3 linked regions of the Macaca mulatta genome follow. The protein of the gene in region 3 interacts with the protein of the main gene of each other region in a pairwise test. Links are inferred from orthologs where the notes say so. Each region holds a gene or a part of one and is shown on either strand. Other genes may lie near its edges.

Evidence for each region. The genes of interacting proteins can lie anywhere in the genome.
Region 1: the proteins of UBE2I (region 3) and ARK2N interact in a two-hybrid assay, tested with the Homo sapiens proteins (2 studies listed by BioGRID and IntAct). The two-hybrid records come from large-scale screens. The link is inferred for Macaca mulatta from reciprocal best matches to the Homo sapiens genes UBE2I and ARK2N.
Region 2: the proteins of UBE2I (region 3) and SATB1 interact in a two-hybrid assay, tested with the Homo sapiens proteins (3 studies listed by BioGRID and IntAct). The link is inferred for Macaca mulatta from reciprocal best matches to the Homo sapiens genes UBE2I and SATB1.

The regions. Positions count from the first base shown.
Region 1 is NC_133423.1:46,240,554-46,244,841, forward strand, and holds the start of ARK2N (protein ARK2N), read right to left. Parts: upstream 2,807-4,288; 5' UTR 2,551-2,806; intron 2,230-2,550; exon of another isoform or gene 1,934-2,229; intron 1-1,933. UniProt on the Homo sapiens protein: AMPK substrate important for exercise capacity and skeletal muscle function.
Region 2 is NC_133407.1:30,103,332-30,107,639, reverse strand, and holds the start of SATB1 (DNA-binding protein SATB1), read right to left. Parts: upstream 2,807-4,308; 5' UTR 2,677-2,806; intron 15-2,676; 5' UTR 1-14. UniProt on the Homo sapiens protein: Crucial silencing factor contributing to the initiation of X inactivation mediated by Xist RNA that occurs during embryogenesis and in lymphoma.
Region 3 is NC_133425.1:2,512,387-2,516,694, reverse strand, and holds the start of UBE2I (SUMO-conjugating enzyme UBC9), read right to left. Parts: upstream 2,808-4,308; 5' UTR 2,638-2,807; intron 1,273-2,637; 5' UTR 1,262-1,272; coding exon 1,196-1,261; intron 1,004-1,195; coding exon 920-1,003; intron 1-919. UniProt on the Homo sapiens protein: Accepts the ubiquitin-like proteins SUMO1, SUMO2, SUMO3, SUMO4 and SUMO1P1/SUMO5 from the UBLE1A-UBLE1B E1 complex and catalyzes their covalent attachment to other proteins with the help of an E3 ligase such as RANBP2, CBX4 and ZNF451.

The DNA of each region.
Region 1 (4,288 bases), on a different chromosome or scaffold from region 3:
ACTATTAACATTAGGAGCAAGAAACCTTTGAAGGACACGCATTAGCCCTCAGTTCTAAAGGAACTGCATTAAATTAGAACCTAAAGCTGAATTTATCTTTACTATATGGGTTTTGAATTAATCATGATAACCATAAAACAAAGATTATGACAGCTACTCTCAAATAGATGCATGTTAAAGTAATATAAAAGTGAGTAAGTAACAACTACACTGTGAACTTATTCTAACAATGGGGAAAGTTTCCAGCTCCAATGTCCAGTCCATCCCATTTTTCACAAAAAGGTGTCAGAAAAAAAAATTTTCCCAAAAATGTGTCAGAAAAAAAATTTTTCCCATTAAGAAATCTGATTCAGGCCGGGCGCGGTGGCTCACGCCTGTAATTCCAGCACTTTGGGAAGCTGAGGAGGGCGGATCACTAGGTCAGGAGTTCAAGAGCAGCCTGGCCAACGTGGTGAAACCCCGTCTCTACTAAAAATACAAAAATTAGCTGGGCGTGGCTCGTGTCCGTAATCCCAGCTACTCGGGAGGCTGAGGCAGGATAATTGCTTGAACCAGGACACGGGAGGCGGAGGTTGCAGTGAGCAGAGATCACACCACTGAACTCCAGCCTGGGCTACAGAGCAGACTCCGTCTCAAATAAATAAATAAATAAATAAATAAATAAATAAATAAAATAGCGATGTGACTCCTCAGGACATCAGGTAGTAACTAGCAATTGCAGGCCTCTAAAAATGCTTGTTAAACCAAAAGGCAATGCTCTGATTACTGGAGGAATCTAGATTGCCAGGATCAGCAAAACTACATTAGAAAGTTAATAGCTTCCATCCTTAAAATATCCCAAGAGAAGAAAGGGAGTGATTCAAACTGTTAGCATGTACCCAATACTACACAATAATAGCCTAAGCAAAATTGGTAGATGTATTTGTAATTAAGAAGTCCAACCTTGACGAAGTATTATCAGTGGGATTTTAATTTTACTGGGTGGGAGGATTCAAAAAGCAAAAGGTCAGGCAAAAAACGAAAAACCCATCCAAGCCGAAACTGCTCAAGGATCTATCTGGGAGGGCTCCTACCGATGTTCTCTACTTCAACCTGCGAACATCAATTTTGTGATGGGGGCTGCCGGGGACGGAGTGGGGCGGGGGGGTAGGCGGACAATTTAAAAGTGAGAATGAATGGCTTGCGTAAAGGCGACAGTCTTTAAGCCGGGTTCGTCAGTGTACATCCTCACCGGTTTTGAAATAAAGTTGACGAACTCCCCAGAAGCGGTCAATTTTGGAGACTGACACATCTCTCCCATTGACCGGAGGCGCCTGCCGACCGAAGGTAGTGGAAACGCCGAGAGGCAGGCGGCGCCAAGCCTAAGAAAGCCTTTTCTCCCTCCTCCAAGGCCACTGCGGCCGCAGCCCTGGAGCTCTCCACTGCAGGGGCAGGTATCGGCGCCAGACCCCCGGCTCGCGGAGCTGGCGGAGTTGCCGCCACTGCTTCCCAGGCGGGCCTAGGAGCCAGAAAGTTGCGTGAAGACAACTCCAAGGCCGTGAAGCCGCTTCCCCCCGCAGCCCGGGGACTGCGGCACCTCCAGCCTTCTCCTTAGTACCCCACGGAAAAGGACTTGCCTCGACCCGGCCCCAGCGTCTGGGGGCTTGGGGTGCCGTAGCCAACTCCGCCGGGCCGGGAGGACGCTAGGGTCACCAGCGGCTGACGAGCAAGGAGGTTGGAGCGGTGCGATGCCCCCACGTCAGACGCCAGTCCAGGCTGCGAGTTCCCGGCGCCCACCAGCCGGGCCCGCCAGGATCCCAGCGTCCGGACGCCGCAGAGCCCTCACCGCGGCCCGCAGCCCTCCGACTTGCCCCGACCTATCCCTGGGACGCAGCCCGGGCTCCGCAACTCGACCAGTAGCCAGGCCGCGGCCCTGCGCCCCTTCCCGCCTCACCTGCGCTCCGCTGCGACTCCGTGCCTCCTCGCTCGCTCCGCGCGCGCCCCGTCGGGGCACGCACCGACCCCCCGGCTGGGACTCTCCCCGCTGCGGTGACTCAGGACGCGACGGCCACCGCCGCCTTCTCCTCCTCGGAACAAGCGCCGGCGGCGAGCAGAGGGTCGCGGTCAGAGCCCCTGCCGGGACCAAAGTGAACCTCGCCGCCTCCGCAGCCTCTACCACCAAGTCCCTTCAGTCGTCCGCGCCGCCCCCAAGAAAATGTCACCAGAGGCCGTTCCGCTCGGCGCCTCACTTCCGCCCGGAAACACAGAGCCTGCGTCGGCCGGCTAGAGAGGCTGCTGCGCCGGGGACCTCTGGAGACTGGCGCCCGAGGCCCGAGAAAAGCCAGACAGCGCCATCTGGCGCGATGGAACCCGCGCTCCTCCCGCTGCAGACCGCGGGGCGTGAAAGCGCCAGCTCCCCGGGCTTCTTTCCCGCGCTCCCTCCTTCTGTTGAGACCGTCTCCTTCCAGAAATGTCTTTCCCGGGGTGTGTGAAAGCCACTCAATGCAAGACAAGGACAATGCCTTCAACAAAGGACAGCGCTCCCTTTTCTGTGCGCTGCTCAGTACTCACCCCCTCCTGAAGCCCTTCCGAAAGCAGCTCGCGGTGTCTGAATCTTTGAGTCGCTCCAGCCTCCGGAGGGCCCGCGCCCTTCTCTCCCCGCTTTTTCGCGGATGCGGACAGCTGGGCTCGCGGAGACTCAGCCGGGCTCGGGGAGACTAGGCTGAGGTCTTCTTGGGCAGCGGCACCAACATCTGCTCAAGTTTCTGCCGGGGCACCTTGCAGGCCTTGCAGATCGACCGCCACCTGCTGGTGGGACGGGGCCCGCAGGGGAGACGCCGCTCTGCCCCGAATTCCGCCTCTGCAGTCGCCCTCCGATTTGCAGTCAGCCCTTAGGAGGGTAGGGGAAAGGAGGTGGATCGAACCCCGAGAAAGGGGAGGAGGGCGCGGGCCAACTGGCGGGTAGAGGGCTTCCCAAGGAGAAGCAGGAGATGCTGAAGACGCATCTCACGACTCAAGATCTGGCCAAGGACCCGCGCTCACCCAAAGCACTGCAGTGTTTTGAGAAGAAAAATAATAATAATAAAGCTTTCACCTTTACAGAGCTGTGCTGGAACCTCGGATGAGACCCGTCAAGAGGAGATTCTGAAAATCTTACACTACTGAGTCCGTACTCCCCTAAACATCAGTATCCCCCTTCAGACCAGGCCCATTAGTTCCCCCACTTCACTCATTTTTTCTGACTGCCTACAGGAGTGCGAGTTTTTCATCCCTAACTACAAGAATAATTATGAAAAGAAAATAACTTTTATTGAATGCCTATTACATACCAGGCACTTTGCATTTAAATGGGTTAAATTCTTTTTTTTTTTTTTTTTTTTTTTTTTTTGAGACGGAGTCTCACTCTGCCGCCCAGGCTGGAGTACAGTGGCCAGATCTCGGCTCACTGCAAGCTCTGCCTCCCGGGTTCACGCCATTCTCCTGCCTCAGCCTCCTGAGTAGCTGGGACTACAGGCGCCCGCCACCTCGCCCGGCTAGTTTTTTTTTTGTATTTTTTTAGTAGAGACGGGGTTTCACCGTGTCAGCCAGGATGGTCTCGATCTCCTGACCTCGTGATCCGCCCGTCTCGGCCTCCCAAAGTGCTGGGATTACAGGCTTGAGCCACCGCGCCCGGCCGGGTTAAATTCATTGAATCCTCTTTACAACTCATAACAACCCTATGAGTTGGATGGCATTACTAGCCCCAAGTTGCAAAGGTGGAAACTGAGGCACAGAGTGACCTGCCCAAGATGACACATCCAAGTAAGTGGCAGTGTTGGATTACAACACAGGCAGAGCTTACTTCTTAACCACAGCCACCACTGCCTCATTGAGAATCACTGAGAACGTAGTGTGTGCTAGCTAAGTAGTTTATCTGTATATGTTATTTCACTCGTTCATTCATGTATTTACTTTCTGCTACCTGAGTCCTCAAGGGATTTGAGAGGTTGTGGGGTAGTGACAAGAGCCCAGCCTCTTGCAGGAAAAAAAGAAAAGAAAAGAAAAAATCACTATTAAGATCACAACTGTCCGAAAATGAATGAGTGAATGTGGACTAATACACTGAGTTTTTAAAAGATTCCATGACAGTCTGATCTAACCAATGCTGTGGGAATACTGAAGTAGGGCCCTGACTACTGAGATACCATCTTGGGTCCTTCTCCTGTTTTTTGTTGTTATTGTTGTTTCTTTGTTTTTTGTTCTGTTTTGTTTTGTTTTTTTCTTGAGACAGAGTCTTGCTCTGTCACCCAGACTGGAGTGTAGTGGCGCG
Region 2 (4,308 bases), on a different chromosome or scaffold from region 3:
TGTCTAAAGATCACCTGCCAGAATTTAAAAAGAAGACATGTTATAATTGGGTGGGGACCTACGTGTATATATGTGTCCTATGTAAATGTTTTAGCTCTAGATATCTCTCCACAAATATAATGTATTGGTAAAATGGCCTATCTAGATATGATACAGATGTTACTATATTTCTAGATAATAGCCTTACATTCTTATTTAAATTAACAAAATGATCTGTGGAAACTGTACCAATACACACGAATAAAAAGGCAATTGGCCTATAAAAAAAACTAAGTGGGGAGAAATGGGCTTACTTTTAGAACAAGAATTATCACAAGTATAGCTAAAAAGAAAACAGCAAATTTTATTTATGTAGTCCCAATTTTTAACAATTAGAAACTCATTACAAAATACAGCAGAAACACTTTAATAAAGGATGGAAAGATGATCACAGTTCAAAATATTAGAAATCTAATGTATATGTTTATATGTGTATGTACATATAATATACATATACATATATGTTTTATATGTATATGAATATAAATTCTGAGGAAAATCATACACAATCTCAAAAGAAGGTAACAAACATCTAACTGTTTTTTAAACTCCCCACTGGCTTTTATAAGTTAATGCATAGAAAAAGTTTTCCACTATCAAAGTTTCAAGAGTTATGTGACAGATCTAGTCAAGTCTTGGGTCAAACATGTGATTGGATCAGTTTACCCCTAAGGAAACAGGAAGAAGTGAAGGGTTTTCAAATATCCAATGTACTGATGCATTAAAACTCATGTGTTTTGTAGTATTTAGGTGTCCATTAGCAATAGAGGGCTGTTAACAATAAATATTTTTTAAAAATTTAGAATACACTTTGTGATATACACATTAGGTTGAAGTGCCAAGCTCAATTAAAACACACACACACAAAAAAAAAAACCTTGATGACACTGGTAAAACAAAATATCCAGTATTCAGAAACAACCTCAGCATGCAATGGCGTTAACATTGTAATTAACTTCAAAAAAATTAACAGATAATTATTTTCAGTTATATACTAGACATCAATTTTCACATCATTTATAGTAAAGTGATTAGATAATATCAAAGTCATTTTTAAAGCATAGTTTTAATTAGAATTGATAAGAACAGGTAAGTAGAATTATTTTATGAACTTTGATGGTATTTGAAATATTGAGCTTATGAAAATAAGGCATCATATTTAGGAAAACCAGAGAGAATAATTACCATTTTTCCTAGCTGTCTAGTAATTTGACATGGCTTGTTTTTGTTGTAAATTGTTACACTGAAGCTATTTAAATCTGGATTTGCTGAAAGCCAGTTTGTGTTAGCATGGCTTTTCTGTAAACATTTTTTTCTTCTGTTTAACCATAGCCTACTTCTTACCATATAATCAAGAAAAGGGGGGCAGTAATGTTAATCTGGAAGTTTAAAAGCAACCTTAAGAATGCCAATTGAAGAACTATAAAGTTTGAGAAAAATTAACGGCTATTTATCTTTGTACTCCAGAGTGGCACACTGAGAACTAAAGGTTTACCGTTGATCGAGGTCCCATCTGTTTTTGGTTATGAGGTTCATTAACAATAAATGTGCCTTTTTAAACCACTTTTTATCAAGATTACTCTTTTCCATTATATTAAACTGCAGTCTAAAGCCAAAATTAGAAAGCAATGATTATTAACTTATTCAAAACACTCTTTATAATGTTTCATGTGGATAATACAGAGCTGCTTTTTCTGAAATTGGTTGCCTCATCCTAGAGCAGAAGATGAATTTTAAAACATATGATTTGAAAAGAAAAATGTTTAGCCCTTGGGGCAATTTAAGAGGAAAAAAAGGGAGGGGGTGTAGACAACAGCATCAAAGTTAATGCTATAAAACATATTAAGTAATCATGAAGCTTAACAACACTATAAACCGTACAGCAAATGAAAATGATATATTATAATTTAGTTAATGTATTGACAATCAAAGTATCACATAGGTCATGAAAAACTGTCCTTTGAATACCCACCTATAAGCATCTATTAAACACTAAGTCATGGTGTAAAAAGCTTCACATTACAAACCAAAATTAAATGCACATAAAACACCCAATTTACTCATTTAAACTCTATGCCCGGGCTAAAGTTCACCAAACCACAGTTTGGAATTGAAAAGAGCAATCTCCAACAGGCCTGCCTGGATGACAGCAGCAGGAACTAACTATGGTCTCAACAGATGCCAGGCTGAAGAGTTTCTTTTGAGTTACACATGTTACAACCCATTTTAGTGTAATGTCTGGTTGCCACACAGAAAGCAAGCTACTTTCTGAAAATCCCATTTATCTGCCCATAAACTAAGACCATATATGATAATTACTTAATAAAACAGTGAACTCTAACAATTATTTCCTTTAAAAAGAAAGAAAAGCACGAAATTATAGTTTTTTAAGAACCGATTTTTTTTGCAAAGTGAGATCCTTTTCAATGAGTTTCTAGCTGGATCGCCTCCTTCGTCCCCACACAACCCCATAATCACATTTTAAGATTGTGCCCTTATCCATTCCATATGGCCGGCACGATCCAGGCCAAGCTTTCACTGTGACCTTTTAAAGAGACAAAGAAGCAAAGTACTATCTAGAAACAGAAACACTGCAGTTTTACTGAGTGAAATTAGCAAAACCGACCTGAAACTCACCACTTCAAAACTTGACAGCATATAAATAACAAAAACAAAGGAGATTTCCTTTGCAGACCGGGTTCTTGAAGAGAAGTTCAAGACTGATGTTTTCTATGTCCTTTTTTTTTTAATTTAAAAAAAAAAAAAAAAAAAAGCAGCAGACCTGAAGGCGACTTCCCCTGAAATTGTATTATTTTTCCTTTCCCCTACCCCCGCCCCCCTAAGCGGGGGAAGGGCAGAAATAAACGTCTAGAAGAGTAGCCATGAGAAAGGGGTTTAAAAAAAAAAAATCACAATTCGAAAACCAACATATATGCGTTTGTAAAATGTCTAACCTCAGAGAACGGGGTTTGCGATGGGGAGGAGGGGAGAGTGGGAAGCAGGGAGGAGGAAGAAGATAAAATTGATCTGACAAGTGATTCGTTGGGGGGAAATCGTAAAAACAAAGCAAAACCCGTTATGAGCTGTACACTATGATGGTGCTGGGGAAACGAGGTGGTGACTGAGGATTCTCTTTAAAAAAAAAAAAAAAAAAAAAAATCACTGCGGACAATGTCTCCAAAAAGGAAAAAAAAAAAGGCCCTTCGCGTCTCTCACTCCCTCCTGCTCGCTCGGGTTCTTCGGTGTGAGGACTGAAAGTCTACTTCTGGCTGTCACTTGCAATATTATTCTCCAACAAACCCGAAGAACGCGCACTGGGAAGGCCACCTTGCCTCCCTTCCAATCACCCCCACCCCCCTCCCCAACAATCGTGACTAATATTAACAAACCTTAAACTTTTCCCCACAGCCTCGCACCCCCAACGAGGGCATCTAGCGGGGGACAGCGAGGGTGGGGGGCAGAGGGTCGCGAGAAAAGCCCCGGAAAGGCACTAAAATGCCACTTTTGATTCTGCCCTCGCTGACAACAGCCCCAAGGACCCTCTCCCTGCCCATTGACGCGGGGCTGTGAGCGTCTGGGATCCCAGCAAGTGAGGAAAGAAGAGGTTCGGGGGGAGGGGGAGGAGGAGAAAGATCAGAAGGCACCCCCAGCCACCTCCACCGCCTAGGCAGCGACAAACTCCCCGCCCCCTCCCCCCAAAAAGTCGCCAAGCTCTCACTCGTCCAGAGTCCGAGGTAAACAACGAGCACCACAATGGCACTAGGACTTGGGGGGGGAAGAAACCCAGAAACCCCAACAAAACTGATCAGGAGTTTCCTGAAATGAAAGAGGGGGGCGGGCAGCGTCCTCTGGAGTCGCCCTGGCTTTCGGCTGGGCCCCCAGGCAGGCTAGAGGGCGGCCGCGGCTGTTGTTGTTGTGACGAGGCCGGGTGTTGCTGGGTGGCACAGGGAGAGGTGTGTGTGTGTTTGTGTGTGTGTGCGTGAGTGTGAGCGCGAGTCCCCGGACGGGGCTGCTTCTCTCGCTCTCTCCCTCGCTCGCTCTCCCCCTCGCTGCCGTCTCTGCCCCCATTAAATTATTAGTTGACTCATCCCGGCCGCTGTCGCCGCCGCCGCCGTGCCCCGCTCGGCTCCGCGCGTCCGCCCGGGCTGCAGCCCTCTCCGCCGCTGCTCCTGCTGCTGCTGCCGCCGCCGCCGCCGCTGCCGCTGTGGGTGCCTCTTCTTCCTCCTCCTCATTTTAATACAAAATCACCCCGCTCGCAGCCCCAGCCCC
Region 3 (4,308 bases):
CGCCCCAGATCCTGCCTGGATGAGGCGCCTTTGCCACCCCACAATCCGACACCACTCCCGTCTTCCTCGGGGCCGCACACCTGCGTCGCCGTGACGTGAAGAGCAAGGGACGTTCTCAGCAGAGCCTCAGACAAGCGACAAACCCAAGTGACACCATGTCTCAGGCAAAGCTGAGACCTGCTGGGACTGCTCAGCTCAGGGGGACCGAAGCTGCTTTGAGTTTCAGAGTGAAACCCAGAGGGTGGCATGGGCCGGAGGGAACAAGGCCTCGGGCAGGACCAGCACCTCAGGGCTCTCTCCTTCCTTCAGGGTTCACCAGCATGAACCTTATGTGCACACCAGCCTGGAGTCCCCGGCCAAGTGCTTCACGGGAGCCGGGCAAAGACGACAGGCACACAGGCCGCCCTGCTCCCCACAGACACACAGGGGGCCCCAAGCAGGCATCCTAGGCTGCTGTCGCCAGTCCCTGTGCCCCAGGAGGTTCTCCAGGAGGCGGCTTTACGCCAGGGTGGCTCTCCAGCAAACCCAGCTACCGTGACCTGAGCCACACCTGGAAGGACACAGCAGAATCCCGGGTTCCAGCCTGCAAAGGCTGCCCGCCCTCAGGCCTGCTCCCAACACACACCAGAGCCCCTCCCCTCTGCCACAGCTCAGCCCTGTGCCCAGCCTGCTTCCTTCTCAACCAGAAATGCCCTCGGTGGGGACACAGCTGTCACCCCAACCTTGCCAGCACCACCTTCTGAGCTCAAGTCCGCACGGGGCGGGGGCCAGGCCACAGCTGGGGATCTGACCTGTTGTCCGCAGCCCGTGACAAGGGCGGCCGTCACAGACGGCAGGGGCTGAGCAGTTTCCCCGTGGCGTTGCCACACGCATCTGTTGAGCCCCGACAGGCAGGAGGCTAGCAGCGCGCGCCTCTTACCCCTTTCTTTCCTGGAATGGCGCACTCCCAGTTCATGAGGTTCATCGTGCCATCGGGATTTTTTGTTGGGACAGCCACGAAACCCTGAGAGAAAACAACCACAAAAGCACATCAGTGCGGTGGCATCTCGTTTGACCAAAACCACCGAGAACCGGCCCGCGAGCCCCACCAGCGCGACCCAGGCACGCGGCCAGCTCCCTCCCAGTGGTGGGGGGCACGGTTTCAGCCCAGGGGGGCCGTCCGCGGCACTGCACACGGAAACGAAGCCCTCCTTACAAACGGGTGGTCTTTCCTCCATGCTTTCCTCTCCTGGGCGAGTCTGCTGAGGGCGATCCCCGACATGTTCAGAGTCCCTGGAACACAGGAGGCAGAGCACGGGGTCAGGACAGGCTAGCGGGCTCCTGCGGCCCCGCCACGTGCACACGGCCCGCAGTGGGCAGTCTTGCTCCTAACAGGCGCCAGCCCAGCCCAGCAGAGACTCTCCTCCTGGAAGCCGTCGTCCGACCCCGGGGTCTACCAGGGGAGGCCTCATGAGTGGATCCCAGATCACCGGGGGTGGGGGGACAGGTAGGACCCCTTCCCCATGGGCCCCCCGAGCCCTGGTCTGCGACACGTGCCGCGGCCTCTGCTCCACGGTGGAGACGGATGTTCAGAGGCTGGGCTGCTGTGGCTGGGCGGTAGCTGCCACCCTGTGGTGGCTGGCGTGGCAGGGTCCTCACTGAACCGTCAGGTGGGGACTAGGCAGGGCTGGGTCCCAGCCTTACTATCTGGGTCCCCGCCTTACTATCAGGCGCTCAGAACTGAGACTCAAGCCGGGCCAGGGGGACACCTAATATTGTTTTTTTTTTTTTTTTTGAGATGGAGTCTCACTCTGTCCCTCAGGCTGGAGTGCAGTGGCACTATCTCGGCTCATTGCAACCTCCGTTTCTTGAGTTCAAGCAATTCTCCTGCCTCAGCCTCCCGGGTAGCTGGGACTACAGGCCCCCGCCACCATGCCCGGCTAATTTTTGTATTTTTAATAGAGATGGGGTTTCACCGTGTTGAAGACAGAGTGGAACAAGTACCACAGGGCAGAGGCTCAGCCTCGCTGAAAGAGGAGCCCCCCACAGGGCCACCGTTCCCGGACCCTGCAGCCGCTAGCATGTCCCTGTGGCTTCAGGGGACAGACGGGTCCTGTGGGGCAGGGCAGGAGCATGGGGTACGGGACCAGGTCCCTGGTCAGAGGCAGCGGCACACACGCCAGATTCCAGCTCCACACTTCTCCACGGGACCTCAGGGGCTTGGCACCTTTGCCTTCTGGTTCCCAGCGGGAGCCTGTCGGCCCGCACTGTCCCCGGGGACACCAGGCAAACAGGGCCAGCAGCCTCGACACCAGCCTCACCTGTCACCCTACTGGTGGTCACCTTTACCATGAAAAACAGCACTCAGGGCACAAAACCTGCCAGAGAATTCAAGCCCAAGTGTGTGCTGGTTTTCAAAGTCCACGGGAACACTGAAGCTGCCTCCAAGTCTGGCATCTCAGCGCCAAGCAAGGGCCACCTCGACAAAGCTGGGGGTTGCGCCAGGCCTTCCAAACCGTGGGGGGCCGTCCCTACAAGGGCCCTGGTGACCTGGATGGCGCCCGCACCTGTGCAGGCCCACGAACCTCACACACCTCACAGCTGCAGGAAGGGGCCAGGTCAGCAGCTCCACCTGGGCCAGAGCCGCCGCAGCCTCACCTGGCACTTGTTAGGGAGGCAAGGCCCAGTCCCCAGCAGACTCATTGAGGAAGGAGCTCCGAGAGGCCCACATTCGGGTTTTGGGCGGCACGATGGCTTCCCGAGGCAGCAAAGCAGAAATCAGGGGTGGGGCTGGGATCAAGGAAGCCCAGGCGGGTCCAGTGTCGCCAGGGAACCAGGGTGCTGGAAGCCAGGCGGGGCTGCTAGAGCCGCCTGCCCTGCAGGTGGATTTGGCTCCTTTTTAACCAAACACGGATCCTCAGGGCAGCCTGAGAAAAATCAGGCAAAGGAACCCGGGTCCTCCAGTCAGTAGGTGCTGGCATCACAGCGAGAGGGTGACAGGGGCCATCCGGGCACTGGCCTCCAGCTACACGATTAAGTCCAAGACAGGTAGCCCCAGACTGGGCCCCACCGGGATGTCCCTCCCCATGCCCTCCTCACAGGGATGCGGAGGAGCCCGCAGGCCGCCTGCCCTCTGGACCACTTGCCCATCCCCATGCCCTTCTCTAAGTGGGGGTGGGGGGAAGCCAGGGGCCAGAAAGGGAGAAAGTGGGGGACACAGCTGGGCTCAGCTGTGGGCAGGCAGGGTTCGAGCCCAGAGTGGAGTGGAGCTCCCGCCAACCACGGTTTCAAGGCTCTCTCTGCACGTGTCTCCACCCTCCACTTCCACATGGAGCAGCTCAGTTGTGGCTTGAGGACTCACAGCTCTCGCTTCCCCAGCCCCAGGGTGGGCTTCATGAGTAGCCACAGCCTGTGCCTGGTGCGGTGCAAAGCAGCCTGGTGAACGGCCGTTTTGAGGAGCCACGACCTCCCAGGTGCCCGGGGTCTGAGCGGGGCCAGGAATCAAGCAGGTCTCTGAAGCCCCAGGCCAGTGCTCCAGACACTGAAGGACCAAGGCCAACACGATCCTCACAGCCAGGCAAGGCCAGGCCCCAGAGAGGCCAGCCCCAGAGAGGCCAGCCAGGCCTGGAACCCTGCCACAGGTAGCCCTCCTACTGAAGACCGGACAGAGCCACCTAGAGGCCCCCGTCCCAGCACCTAGCTATTGCTGTCTCAGATGTGAGAAGTCGTGAGGGTGCTCCTGTGAGACCTCCCGCCAAGGTCTGGCTGATGCTGCTGTATCCCCTGCCCCAAAGCACTCAGCACCACAGGGTGGTCTCACAGGAAACTGCACCACAGGGCAAGGAGCCACAGGTGCACACCCACCCTGTCCTAGGCAGAAGCCAGGCCCCTCCCCCTGCTCCCCCTCCTACTGGCCTCCTGGAGAAAGTGGCCAATGTGTTACAATGTAATCACAACACAGACGAAGCATTCAAAATCCCGCTGAAAATCGAATTTGCCCTTCCAAATTAACAGATAAGCACTAAGTGAATGGCTAGCAGTTACTAGACCCTTCAGAGCAGGGAACTTATATGAGGCAAAGACAAAAACAACCCTCATCTATCAGAGCCAAGCAAGGCCCAGACACTGCAGCAACCAGGACAGGGCCAAGCACTCCAGGAGTGGCCTGAAGGTCTGCCTTCTGTCCTGCTGGGCACCCGCGACCGGCTGAGCTTTAGCTTCTCGGATCACCACCTTGCTCTGCTGGTTGACAGCACCGACTTCCGAGCAACTTCCTGGCTGAGGGTGAGCAAAGCACTCACCTCTCACAACTCCACCGCACTCATCTCC